Linked DNA regions of Astyanax mexicanus. Each later gene encodes a partner of the first gene's protein in a complex. Links are inferred from orthologs where the notes say so. Each region holds a gene or a part of one and is shown in the gene's direction. Other genes may lie near its edges.

What was found. Proteins that work in one complex are often made in the same cells at the same time.
Region 2: the proteins of kcnj4 (region 1) and tax1bp3 are in contact, whole or in part, in a crystal structure (PDB 3GJ9), measured with the Homo sapiens proteins. The link is inferred for Astyanax mexicanus from reciprocal best matches to the Homo sapiens genes KCNJ4 and TAX1BP3. Residues at the interface, in NP_004972.1 of Homo sapiens: Arg440, Arg441, Glu442, Ser443, Ala444, Ile445; in NP_055419.1 of Homo sapiens: Leu27, Ile28, Leu29, Gly30, Phe31, Ser32, Ile33, Gly34, Gly35, Asp38, Gln39, Gln43, Asn44, Thr58, Arg59, His90, Asp91, Arg94, Leu97, Thr98.

The regions. Positions count from the first base shown.
Region 1 is NC_064410.1:9,642,994-9,650,622, forward strand, and holds the start of kcnj4 (ATP-sensitive inward rectifier potassium channel 12), read left to right. Parts: upstream 1-4,605; 5' UTR 4,606-4,930; intron 4,931-7,629. UniProt on the Homo sapiens protein: Inward rectifier potassium channels are characterized by a greater tendency to allow potassium to flow into the cell rather than out of it.
Region 2 is NC_064423.1:19,202,847-19,209,906, reverse strand, and holds the start of tax1bp3 (tax1-binding protein 3), read left to right. Parts: upstream 1-4,026; 5' UTR 4,027-4,151; coding exon 4,152-4,190; intron 4,191-5,150; coding exon 5,151-5,270; intron 5,271-5,584; coding exon 5,585-5,662; intron 5,663-6,251; coding exon 6,252-6,392; 3' UTR 6,393-7,060. Other genes in the region: nr2f6b (nuclear receptor subfamily 2 group F member 6b), read left to right, coding at 1-110. UniProt on the Homo sapiens protein: May regulate a number of protein-protein interactions by competing for PDZ domain binding sites. Binds CTNNB1 and may thereby act as an inhibitor of the Wnt signaling pathway. Competes with LIN7A for KCNJ4 binding, and thereby promotes KCNJ4 internalization.

The DNA.
Region 1 (7,629 bases):
CCTGTCAATCATCATTCCACTCGGAAATTAAACTTATAATATCATGCACGGCTCATACAGACTCGTCTCATTTACCTTCTTCACTACACACATTTTAGTTTTTTCTCAGATAATATTTCTGTTATCTAATGGGTAACAGGCAATTATATAAGCTGAAGGGGACAAAGCACTGCTAACTGAACCACCTTGTGGAGAACTGGGGCACCGAAGGACTTGGATAAGGGGCAACATGAATATTGTAAATTGCAGGGAACCAAAAAAAAACAACCCGTGAGAAACACCTTTGTGTAATCGAGGCACTACGTGAGTTAAATAAGGGGGGAAATGTATGTTGTAAGTAGTAGGAGGCCAATGACTAAGTTTACAGGTAATAAAACAGGATAGTCCATGACTCGCTTGTAAAAATGATTTATAATCTCTTTGTTAAATAGTTAAACAATGGTGCAGTTAAAAATGAGAAATCACATAGGTTTTAATAATTTATTTTCTTTTCTCAAAGCAGCAAAACCCATAAGAAACTAGTGGACATTAATGGTAGAGGACCAATGAATGATTCATTCTACAACTACTACTAATAGTACTGCTTGTTAAAGAAGGGTAAAACTTGTTAGAATCCTGGATCATACTGCTTTCCATCAGCATCCAGAGTCTCAGAGAGCACAGTTGGCCTTGCTCTCTCTCTTTGTGGTAGATGGCGCTCTTTTCCAACATCACACTCAAGGTAATGTCGGTCAGCACAGGCGTCTGTTAGCTGATTTGTCTGAGCTGGGTCACTGCGCTTTCCTTTGAGTGTGCTAGCTCTTTCGAGGTGAGTATTATCTGCTTGTAGCCTGCTGCTAACCCCAGCTAGCACTGCTGGAGCAGCATTAGCATTAGCCGCTAACTGCGCCAACCTCTAGCTCCTTTGCCGATCAGAGTTGAGTATTATCTGCTTGTAGCCTGCTGCTAACCCCGGCTAGCACTGCTGGAGCAGAATTAGCATTAGCCGCTAACCGCGCTAGCTCTTTCACTGTTTAAAGAGCCAAGGGGTTTAAAGAATAATAGAATTTAGATTTGCATGAAGGGTACCATGTAAATACTGACAGTGAAAGAGGACCAAGAATTGATCCCTGAGGAATCCCTTCAGGTAACAGGGCAGTGAATGGTTTGGGTAAGGGGTACAGTTAATCTGGGTCCTGATAAGATATAAATGGACATTTAGATGAAAGAAGATCTCAGCGGGGTGCAGTGTCACACAGAGCAGAGCTGTGTGATGCGCACACTGTACGGAGGGGAGAGTTATGTAAAAACCTTGGTCAGAGTTAGACCCTCAGGAGGGGAGAGCGAGAGGGAGGACAGGCTTTGATGTCTGTGTTTGGAAGCTAACACATTCTGACACAGAGACACACAGAGAGGGCAGCAATGACAGCCAGAAACTTTCACTTTAAAAATACATTTATTGGCACAACAACTTTTACACTCCTACAAAAATATGGGAGAAGTGGGTGAACTGGCTTAGGGCCAAAATGAATGCTTTAAATAGAATAAGACAAGAAAAGGATCTCAAGGGTACAATGTAGCAACATTCTGTAGATTTTACAGGATTACTGATGTATATTGAACAAATACTCTCTGTAGAACCTTCAAACAGCACGTTACTGTAAATCTGCAAAGCATCATTGCTGAATTGTAAGATAAATATATTTCTTTTGTGAATTACATTTTTAAACAGCAGTATGAAAATGAAATTATCTTTGTTAATGCCACATTTTTTCATTATTTCCAACTCAGATACAAGTTTTATTATAATACAGACAAATGCACATCTTTATATCCTCTATAACTGTACATAGGCATATAAAGCTACAACAGGTTAGATGATTTGTAACTGAAGTGTATAGAAACAGGCCAGATAATCTCTAGAGAGGAGAATACCCACTAAAGCCTAAACCACTTTTTTCTTAATAGCTGAAATGTGTTCCTTTGAAGTAATGAAACATACCAGTCCTGCTTTATTTTTTTATAAACTTTTCCTAATTTTCAAAAAACACTTTTATTTTGGTCATTTCCACCTCTGCGGCGCCCTCTCACGTTCAATTGTGCTATAGGCATGGATGATGTGTCCATGTACTTCACACATCACAGACACATCACAATATGTAGATCAGATAATCAATAATAACGTCCAACCATCTGGGTATCATCGTTATCAGAGGCACACTGCAGCTGCTGCAGCTCAGCCAATCAGCTCTTCATACTGCCCCGCCCGGCCCTCTAAACCCATACATCACCCAGTGCCCCTCCCAAACTACCCCTCCCATTTTTTTAGCCTGTTTCAAATTGTATCTGAGACTGAAGTCAGCAAAAATCAGGGGGTTAAGTGCCACTTTAAGAATCTTTTCCGGGTTTGTTGGATCACCAGAGGGCGCTTCTAAGTACATATGAATTTTAACAATTTTCCCAATACAGAACAACATCAAATGTTTCAGCACGGCAAATGTAATTTTTAAAAGTTTTTAAACTACAGGTAAAAGCCTTTTAAACATGCTATGACCATAATTCACCAACCAGTCAGCACACAGTAGCAGTAATGCTAGTCTTTGTTGTCCTAAACCGTAAAAAAGGGTAGGTTTTCTTTGCATTTTTAGTGAAATACATCATTCTGCTTTCAATAATTGAATGAATATTCTGGCCTAGTGGATAGTAACTATTTTTTTATTTGTATTTTAAGCTATTTAGCTTCATTAATTCAATTTTATTAAAGACTCATTTGTGGGCTTCTTCTTGTAATTTGCAGTTGTTTGTGGGAACAATAGGTGGCACTCACTCCAAATCAGCTATGGAAGGCTGCAAGTCTTTAAGCTTAGATGTATGCTAGTGGTCAGTCAAGTGGTAATCAGTCAGTTTGTGTCTGTAGAGCTGTAATAATTGACAGTAAGTGTGAACTTCATTTTCACTACACTTGCCGTTTATTGGCTCCTTGTCACCATTCTGTGGTACTGCTTTGCTAGCTACATAGCTAATGCTAGCTACTCCACACTGAAAAAGAGAAATGCTGGAGAGGAGTTTTTTTCTTAGCTAGTAAAATACCAAAATAAAATATGTATAGAATATTTTTTTATAGATTTTGTTAACTTGTGACATTTAGTTGATAGTGTTATCAGTTTGGTGTAAGAATAACATTACTGGATATGTGTGCGACTAGCAATGTGTGTTGTGGTGCTAGCTAGCTTTATTTTTCTCTTGCCAGCTAAGCTAGTTTATGCACCTTATTCACTCCACGCTCATGTTAAAATGAAAGCGAGGCTAAGGGTACACTCCTAAACCGTAAATTCCAAGGCAGCAAGGCAGCGTTTAAATGGCAGCGCCTGTGTGAACAACTAACCTTGCACACATTCCTGAATTAATGGTGAAAGTAGTAATAAGTGCAAGATTCCCTGAGCTGTTTTACTAAAAGGCTAAAAGTTTGTTGTATTAGAAAATCATGTGTTAGCTTGCTAGCTAGTTAATTACTTACTAACTTAGTGACTGTAGAAAAAAAAGCTTGTAGTTCGTCTAACTTATAGTCCTCCTTACAGACTTCACTAAACTATCTGTCTGGGTAAATAACATTAGCACAGCATCCTTCTTCAACTTTCTCATGCCAGCCAGTGTCTTACAGAAACACTATTTCGTAAAATGTTCTGAACTTACTTTTGTTTTCATGTTAATCTGTAACATTAAATCAGACATAAAATTAATGTTAACATGACTGTTAAATGCCAAATAAAGTCCAGCTAAGCATGCAAGTATTGTAAGACTGGAGCAGCATTAGCATTAGCCGCTAACGACACTAAACACTAGCTCTTTCCCCTTTCAGAGGTGAGTATTATTGGCCTGTAGCCTGCTGCTAACTCTGGCTAGCACTGCTGGAGCAGCATTAACATTAGCTGCTAACTGTGCTAAGCGCTAGCTCTTTCGCCATTCAGAGGTGAGTATATTGGACTGTAGCCTGCGTGTTTACGGTGTTAAAACAAGCTATGTGAAAAGAACCTCTAACTGATATCGCCCAGGCTTACCAGAACACTAAGGGTTCCTCAGTGTAAAGCTGTCGGGCGGAATTTACTACTTACTACTTACTGACTGCGGCTTGCTCTAGCGGTAAGTCGCTTAGTGGAAATCTAGAAATCTGGAAATCTATGCTTTCTGTAAATAAACGTAAGTGCTTTACTCACCCAAATAAAGAGTTTGTTTTCAGTAGGGAAATCTGTGTAGATTAACATCCATTGCTTGTTTGACTTTAAAATATATTTTTTAGGAATTACTGTTTTGTTTACTTAGCATAGCTTTACTTAAATTAGTTTTAAGTAACTAATTCAGCAGGTGAGACCTTATGTATAGAAATAGACCAAAAATTAAACATTCATTGATAGGGCGCCTTATAATCTGGTGCGCCTTATAGTGCGAAAAATAATAATTTAGCCCTACAGTGGAAATAGCGGCCCCTGACTAACAGGGGCAGTGATTTATTTTTTTTTTTAAGGTAATAAACGTACGTATTGTCTAGATCTCAGTAGAGCTACTGTAATTTCAATAGAGAAAATATATAAAAGCAGTAGATCATGGTTTACAGTATGTGTGTGTGTAAAAACTGTGTATATAACTCAGACAGAAGTCACACAGGAGCCGAGGCTGTCTCCACCAAGCGGTAATCAGAGTGACAAGCATTTCCCTCTCTCTCTCTCACTCTCTCTCTCCTTTCTCTCTCTCTCTCACTCTCTCTCTCCTTTCTCTCTCTCTCTCTCTCTCTCTCTCGGTAGAGCAGCGTGTGGAGATTAGCGTGGGGCAGGAGCGTGGACACACACACAGCGAGTGAGCGCTTCAGGAGAGTGTGTGATGTGCTGGAGATGGAATCCTGAGCTGAAGCACCTGAACTGGATACCTGCTCATTGAACCTCACCTGAGTGGACAGGTAAGCTGGAGCAGTTTGTTTGTCTGTTTGATTGTTTGTCTGTTTGTTTTCTTGTTGTTTGTTTGTTCACAGTGAATCTGCTGAAGTGAATGAGAACTACAGTGAACTGCAGATTTGGTGTGGAAGCTTGTGTAAATATAAGTTATACAGACCAGCTCAGATTAGAGTTTACGTTTCACTCCGCGAGAACCTTCTGCCTCCTCTATAGAACTTCCGATTAAAAAGTCACTTTAACTGTATTTAAATAAAAAAAAAATGTATCAGTCCATACAGCATGAAATGTACAGTCTTTTAATGGGTTATTTATAGTTTTTATATATATAAAAAAAACAAAGGTTCTTTGTATAACCATGAATACTCTGAACTGTATAAATGGTCATTCACATTGGTGGACAACTTTAAAATGTGTTTAATATATTATCATAAAGTAAGCATCCACTATGAATGATTTCTTTTCCACTGCAAATGCAGTATTGACTATCGATTTTTCAGTATTCACAATTAATTATTCAGTAACTGCTATGCGTTATTTAGTAACTACTATGAATTTATTAACATCCATTATAAATACTCATTAGGTTCTATAAATATTCAGAATTCACTATGAATTAGTTCAGTATCCACTATACCTTATTGACTGTCCACTATAAATTAGTAAGTATCTACTATAAAAAAAAAGCATAAAGCAATATTATGGTAAGAATTGTGCTAATCATTTGTCATTTTCATTTTTATCACTTTAATCATGGAAATCCTAAGCTCCATTGTTTTATTAAAATAAAAAATGCAAGTACTTGAATAAATAAAGTCAGGCTTTATTGTGGTACTGCAGTGTTTGTTTTGTTAGATGTTTCTGAAAGTTTTAGTCTGTTAATTTCTTAATAGGTTGGGATGCTGTATGAAATATGAATTATTTGTAAATCTTATAGACCATCATTTTATTAAAGCTCACCTTCCGTCGTTTTTTCTTTCATTTTAAAATGTCTAGTTGTGGTCTCTAGTATGAATGAATGACATGTGAGCCGTTTTTGTAAAAAAAAAGTGCTCAGGTGTCTCTGTATAGCTCTTTTTTAATGGACTGTTTTAGGGGTGTGTCCAAAATGACCGGATTCCAGCTTTGCTCATGAATATTCATACATGCAAACAGCATGCAAATATCTCTCCTCTGATTGGCTAGGAGCACTGCGACGCCCCTCCACCGCTCTGCCGCTCACTGCCTCCCACCTCCTAACTGATGAGCGGTGATGTTGCGTCGCTTCAGCTCCGCCTCTGGGAGTTTCTCGAGCCAAGGTGGGCTGGTCTGTGAGTTTCTGCCTACGTAGGCAGAAAGATAATTCAAAATTCACCCCTTTTTCGGAGGGGGGGAGGGGGGATTTCTTTGCTTAGCTCCTGCAGACAATGGGGGCTGCAAAACAGTTTAATGTGCAGGTGTACACATTCAACTCGGAGAGACCTACTGTATTCCACAAAAAACAAGAAAAATCGGATTTTCGCGGAAGGTGAGCTTTAACAATAGAATGCAGAACACATATCAGATGCTGAAAGTGAGACATTTCACCATTTCATGAAAAAAAACTTTAACTCATTTAGAACTTATTATAGCAACACATCTAAAAACAGTTGAGACAAGGCAACAAAAGTCTGAAAAAGTAAGTGGTACTGCAATAGAAGCAATTTACAACCAACTCTGGAATGGATATAAAGAGAGTCTTATAGAGAGACAGATTCTCCCAGAAGCAAAAATGGGCAGAGATTCATCAATCTGCACAAATAATGTATCCAAAATTTGTGAAACAGTTTTAGAAAAATGTTCCTCAATATAAATTTGTAAAGACTTTGGATATCCCACCATCTACAGCTCATTTGAATATTATCAAAAGATTCAGAGAATATGGAGAAATCCTTGTTTAAAAGGTACATAGGCAATGGTCAGTATTGCATGCTGGTGATCTTTGGGCCCTCAGCCAGCACTGCATTAAGGAAAGCCATGGTGTTGACATTTGGCTACTTCTCTGCTGTACAGCTATAACCTGCATATATATGAATTGTATGGTGAACAGTAATTTCTGGAAGTGTTCTAAAACCCAGTTCTTAATTTCGATACATATTCAGTACAGCCTGTTTTTAACGAAGTACTGCCTGAGAGCCTAAAGATCACGAGCATCAAGTACTGACTGCTAGCCTTTTTCATTCTGATGGGTTTCATTGTGAATAAAATATAGGTTTATGAGATTTGTGTTTATATTTTAATCCGTGTCCCAGCTATTTCTGAAACTGGGCTTGAATAATATTGGCAGTAAAATGCATAATGTATATTAATAAAAGAATCTAAATATAATATAAGTAGAGCAGGTCAGTATTTAGCTGTGGTTATTTAATTAGAGGAGTATTACTTAGTGATGCAGTGTTTTTTTTAGGGATACATCTTTATTTATGAACCCTTTTCATTTGAGTTGAAAGTCACAGAGATAATAAACACCCAGCTTGACAGTGTAACTCACAGTTATACCTGACTGCTGGTTCTGGTGTTTTGGTTCCAGCTGAACAGTACCGGTCAGCACCACCTTCACCTACGGTTTACATCCAGACTGCTCTCAGTGCGGACGCACCACTGCAGCCTTATTATAGAGCATTTAGCCTTATTCACACACACACACACACACACACACACACACACACACACACACAGTTCTCAAGGT
Region 2 (7,060 bases), on another chromosome or scaffold:
CTCAGCTCTTCTTCATGCGGCTGGTTGGAAAGACGCCCATCGAGACGCTGATCCGAGACATGCAGCTCTCAGGCAGCTCAATTAGCTGGCCCTACGTGCCCGGACAGTAATTGAGTTGACGAGCTGCTTGTCACCCACTTAAACTCTTGACTTTCATGTTCTGTGTGGGCTTTCTAGATTCTCAGTGCGTGATTTCTTAGTCGCTGCGTGAATGTTCATGTTGTGTTATATTCTGCAACACCTCTCTGCTCATTTAGTGTACATGGTGAAGGAGAAAAGGTGAGTACGCTCTCACATGTCCTTAGGCGCATTAATCGAGCCACTCAAGTTTGGGATACCTCAGGTTTTTTACTTCAACGTCAAAACTTTCAGACAAGACTTTTTAGGCATGTTTTATGTGCATCAGCACAGCGGCAGACGAGAAACATCAACAAAGTATTGCACGATTTTTAACAAAAGAAACCATGATGAACTGATGGGGTGGCAGCCCTGAAGAGACGTCTTGGTGCTGCAAGTTTGTGAGATTGACGTTGGTCCAGCTTTAAACGTGAGATATTACGGGAGATTTCTTGGTACCCTATAAATAATTACTATATGAATTATAATGAGTGTAGTTTAGATGAAGACTCATGAAGGTTTTGTCATGGACTGCAATGCTATGTCAAAAAAAAATTGGGAAGCCTGACCACTTACTTGAAAAATCAGTTAATTAATGTGTTGTGATGATCACATTGTTTTGGAATAGTTCTGTGTACTCTAAATAATTGGGTCCAAAAAACAAACATTTCATACTGTCAATCATGAAAAATATCCAATATTTTTGCATACTAATAATAAAGACAGAATATTCATTCAAAAACTCCACTGTGGAGGATCTTTGGCTGGGCTACAACTTTTTTTTTGATTTGATGATGATGTTGATGGCATTTGTGATCTTACACAAAAAGGGGAAAAAGTCACAGTTTGGGTCATACATTTTTTTGTGTAAGCAATTATAAGTACTAGTAAGGTAGATACAAAATGAGTGTTTAACATGAATCTCCCTAAACATTTCTTGAGGCTTATTCCAAGAAGCATCATTTGTCAATAGAGGCCGTCATTTCATTCATGAAAGTGATACTGACTCGATGAGGAACGCTTTAGTATACATATTTAAATATACAATAACATAGCCAAAACATTAGCTCAACTGACAGGTGAACATCTTCATTGATCATCTTCATCTACAGTGGCATATGTCATGGAATGGATATATTGGGCACAAAGTTCTTGAAATTATGTGTTTAAAACAGGAAATCGGCAAACATGAAAATGTGAGTCACTCTGACAAGAGCCAAATTCTGATGGCTAGATGACTGGATCAGAAAATCATCAAACATCAGGCAGGTATGTTCTGGTGATGTGAGGTCTGACCTCATAACTTAGGACCAGAACAAGGAGTCCATGCCGTGAATGGTCAGATTGATTGTGTTGGGACAAGGGGGACCTACTTAATATTATGTAGGTGGTAGAAGTAATGTAATATAGATAAGATATATAGATAGATAATCAGTAGAGGTTCATGTAGTTGTATGAACTCAGCGCTTCACTAATGTATTCTTTATTTATTTTTAGAGTTAATACTGTTTTCACAATTTATTTGCAAGTTATACATATCTACTGCTATGGTGCCATGGGCAAAGATGTCAAAATCAAAGAATTGAATTGTTCTAGAATTGTTTTTCAGTGAAATCACCCTTTGCAGTGTAATGAAATAACCAAAGAGATGTGATGAGCCATGATTTAACTTGTTAATTTTTGCTCGGCTGAAATCCATAGTATATTGTCAATGTCTAGTGAAATGCAGACATAATTTGAACCTAAGGCCTTTAATTGTTAACAGTTGGGAACTGTTAACAGTTAAGTATGGGGGCGCTTATCTCTGTATATATTTATTCGATTTTTTTCTCACAAAGATTTGGACATAGCCACATGGTTGCTGGCTCATTTCTGACATGGAGCTCTGAAACCCTAGAGAACAAGGGCAGTGCAAACTGAAGCCATTCTCTGAACAGATGCATACAGAAGTTGGTGAAGTGGTGCCAGAATAATCACTGAAATCAATGAACAGCAGAATCAGTCGTTTTTCCACAAATGTGTAAATTGCTGTAGTAGTTGGTAAAATGTAAAATATAATGCTATAAAGTGGTTCGTCAGCTACAGGGATCTGCATGGACCTGAAAATCATGCAGCTGGCCAGTAAACACAAAGAAAGGCCAAAGTGCGATACCCCTGTGCCCCCTGCTGGCCACGTGTTTGGACAAACCGCATATAGGCCCTGCTATACATAGTCTTTCAGTGTCTTTAGGTCTTTTGTTCAGAGCAGCTACAGACCGAAATCACTAAATTTCATATTGATATGTTTAAGAGAGACCATTTAAAAATGATGGGTTTCCTTGATTTTACCAAATTGAAAACCTCTGGAATATAATCAAGAAGAAGATGAAATGTTTGCACCAGGCACCAAGAGTGGCGTAAAGTTATCCAAAAGCAGTGTGTAAAACTGGTGGAGGAGAACATGCCAAGATGCATGAAACTGTGATTAAAAAACGGGTTATTTTAGGCAAATATTGATTTCTAAACTTTATATAAATAGTATATGATCTTCATAAAGTTTTCTTGGCATTATTTAAGGTCTGAAACCTTTGCATCGTTTTTAAGTTTTAAGCCATTTTTCATTTCCTGCAAATAAATGCTCTAAATGAAAATATTTTAGTTGGAATTTGAGAAAATGTTGTCTATAGTTTATAGGCAAGGCAAGATTTTCCAGAGCTGTATTTATGCCAGAGAAGCAGAACCATTTACATCGTCGCCTCCTCTTACAGCCATACTGTTAAACGTTCGTTAAGGTTTTTCAATTACAAACTGTGGAGGAACCCCTTAAGGTGCTTTGATGAACCTTAAGATAACAAGTTCCTTCTAAAAAAAACATTTATATATATTATTTAAGGGCTTTCTCCAACTTCAAAAGGTTCCTGCAGAAAATCTAGGCGTGGCTGCAATATTATAATCCAAAACACTTCTGAACAAAAAAAATAAATGCAATGAGATCTATATATTACTCTGATAAGATTTGTCGCACTACCACGGCCTTTAAAACATAGTGTGATGCTAAACATCACCAGCTGGGGTCGCGGTGTGGTCACTTTTTGCCCTTCCATTGTTGTACTGAGCATTTATTTACTTGATTGTGTGAGGGGGGCTTTGTCTTCCCAACAATGAAAGAGCACCGTGGCTGTTAAGCTTATAAATCTGAAGAGCTGAGTTTCCAGATTAGCAATATAACGGAGGGTCAATTGTGCAGCGCACAGGCCACTCTCTTCAGTTCTACCCATTGATGAATTAATACAGTAGTTCTCAAACTTTTAAGGCAATGTACCAGCAAACTAAACCCCCCATGTACAGCTCTGGAAAATATTTAGAGACCACTTCAGTTTCTGAATCAGTTTCTCTGATTTTGCTATTTTAACTACGGGCAACATTCCTTCCAAATTCCTAATAAAAATATTGTCATTTAGAGCATTTATTTGCAGAAAATTAAAATGGGCTGAAATAACAAAACGATTCAGAGATTTTAGTCTTACACACTGCTTTTGGATAACTTTATGCCACTCCTGGTGCAAAAAATCAAGCAGTTCAGCTTGGTTTAATGGCTTGTGATCATCCATTTTCCTCTTGATCATATTTCATAGATTCATTTTGGCAAAATCAAAGAAACTCATAACTTTTAAGTGATCTCTTATTTTTTCCAAAGCTGTATATAACTGTTATACGTCTGGATGCTTCTGGAACACCTGAAATGTTTGCCAGTGCTTTGCCACAGCGATAATCACAGAGATGTAATCAAACAGATGCAACATTACAGATTTTAAATATAAACTTGCTAAAGGTATTTTTACAAACCTTTTGGAAAGTGCTGAATGAGGAGGAGGAGGAGGAGGAGGAGTGAGTTCTCCTTTTCTCCAGCTTTCCTTTTCTGGCTCTGCCCCCAGCATGTCATCTGCATGTTGTCATTCATGGGTGTAACCGCAGACCATCGGTCCTAAAAAACCTGAGAAGAGTTCATTGTTCGCTCGTTGAGGGAAAGGAAATCTTCTGTCATTCATTTTAATATGTCTTTCATACCGGGACAGCCTGTCACAGCTGTAGTGGTGAGTTCTTTTGATTATAAACTAGAGAAAGTTTCCGGGTTTCAGATACAGATAGGGTAGTTAAATGTCTAGCCCACCTCTGTTCATTCGCCTCTACTGTAGCGTTTAGCTAGCCTAACTACAGAGGAGGACTTTCCTTGGACTAAGGAAACTAGTTAGCTTAACTTGCAAACAAAGATAACGCGCAGTTTGTCGTGTTTTGTAAACGACCATCATGTAGTTGCTGTATGTGAATTAGGAAATGCGTACGTTTACGGAATTTAAAGTTAACGTACTTTGGTTGCTTTGCAGTGAAGCTAACCTAACGCTGGCTATGCTAAATAACGTACCCCCGTGTAATAACGTTAGCCGCCTAGCCAGCATTAGCATTAGCTCGCTCTGTGTTACAAGAGTTCCGGGTAGCTAGTTTAGCTAACAAACATTACTCAGAGTTAGTTCACTGTGTGGGTACTTTTTTACGAAGCTCTCAATATTATTAGAGACGTGTTTCTGGTTGTTCATTTAGTTAAAAAGTTAGCTAGCCTGCAATAAATCAAATAACTGCCTCGGTTAGCTGCCTAGCTAGAATAGGTTAGCTAACATACAGCTAGCCACTTCATCCATCAGCATTTGCTGTAGTTGCTATGCATAGACAGCTGAGTCTGTCTGTGAACCAGAACTGTTTTTTTTTTTTGTATGAAATAAAAGACAAACGTACGCTTCTAGTGAATAAAACAAATTATAAAGATTTACAATGAAGCTAAACCATGGATTAATAGTCAATTAAACATTTTATTAAAACATAAGTACAGCATTACATCATTACAGGTAATGCCTAGGTGTGGCTTAAGTAAATTTCTTACAGGTAGCTAGTACTGTATAGCCATATAAGGACAAGCAGAGTGGTATTAATGTTGTTGGTTTCACTGTGCTGGAGATAAGCTGTAACTTTTTTTTTTTTACCCCTCTTTTGTGTTTCAGCAAAGGATAGAGATTCAAAAACTACGAGACGGTGATAATTTAATATTGGGTTTTAGCATTGGAGGGGGAATTGATCAAGACCCAGGTCAAAATCCATTCTCAGAAGACAAGACAGACAAGGTGAGGCGTCTCAGATATTATAGCTGTCATGCAAAAAAACCCATATATTTCCATGCTGTTGTTCTCTTTTCTTCTATAAAGTTGACATACAATGTAATGCTTATATACTGAGTGGTATGTAAATCCTTGAAAGTGGTCACCCCCTCCTTCTCTAAAAAAGTCAATTCAGCTAACTGATGGTGAATCAGATGGGGTCATTTAGGATTAGACAGTTCTCTGAAGATCTCCAGGAACAGGGTTGGTGACCACTGTTGTACAACTTAAAAGTATTGTAATTTATTTTGGTTTAAGTATATTATTTTCTGCTTTTTTAGGGCATCTATGTCACAAGGGTGTCAAAGGGAGGTCCAGCAGAGGTCGCAGGCCTCATGATGGGAGATAAAATAATGCAGGTTGGGCAACTGAATAATGTCTTATGTTGACTAATGTTGAATAATCAGTGACATTTTAGCACCACATGTTTAGGGTATGGCTTGTTCTTACAAATACAATACTAACATGGAAAAATATGTTCTCTTAAAAACAGGTAAAGAGTAGTTTTATTTTTGCTCTGTAAAGTGGTTTTTATTTCAGATCAGTTTGACCACCAGAGGCTGCTATTAACCTACTGTTTGTGTTTCCGTTTTGACTTGAAGCTCTTAAACAAAATTATCTATGTTTTGTTGATTCAGTAGCTCTTGCATGCAGAATTTTTAGATATGGTCAGTTTTTGCTCATTCAGTTTGGCCTCATTAAGGAAATAGTCTTTGATTTCTGCAATGCTACACACATTCAGATGCAGTATGATTTAAAGGACAAGATTCGTTCACATTATAAAGGTTTATGGTACTTGGAAAGTTGAGAACCTGTTTGTTCATTATAGCACACAACGTTTTAACTGTAACATTCTTGTTACAGAAATGTTTAAGTGATTATATATAGTGTTATCTTATTGCTGAATATAATTTCTTGAATCATCAGTATGTTTTTTTATTATAACAGGTAAACGGCTGGGACATGACCATGGTGACTCATGACCAAGCGCGTAAAAGGCTAACAAAAAAGAATGAAGATGTAGTCAGGCTACTGGTGACCAGAAAATCTCTGCAGGATGCGGTTAGACAGTCCATGATGCCACACTAATAGCAATCTCTAACACTCCATTGAATGTCATTTGATAATCACACTACAGAATGTCCTTTTTTATATACTGTAATCCAACCAAATGCCAAAGAACAACAGTGAGCCATCATCTCAAAGACAGACTGAGTATTTGATTTGGGGTGATTTTTTACACCCCATAGGGGTGAATTTTCAATGTTTTCAAAAATAGTTCTGTGTGTTCAACACTAATGCTAAACAACTACTACATATAGCAGCAGTGTTACAGTGACAGTGTGAGTACAGATGATTGTCAATATGTAAATGATGTCCTATTCATTCATTGTTTGCAAGAACTATATGCAGCTACACTTAAAAACACTTATCAGTCATTGCCTTTTGTTTTGCTTTTTTTTTCCTTCTTAGATTGATGTTGAGTAATGCCAAGGAACATGTGTATCAATTCTACATAAAGACCACTAATTTCTTTCCTTTATCATTTTTATACAATGCTTATTTTCTTATGCATATACTACTTGTTTTGTTTGTTAATTCCTAATTATTGCTGCCAAATTAACATGATTGTTTCTCTATAGCAGAAGATCATAAAAGTTTTTTTTTTTGTGACACAAAATATCAACACTGTATTCCAATGATTTTCTACACTGTCTTTGATAGATTTTGGCATGTGGCTGTGTAAAAATATAGCT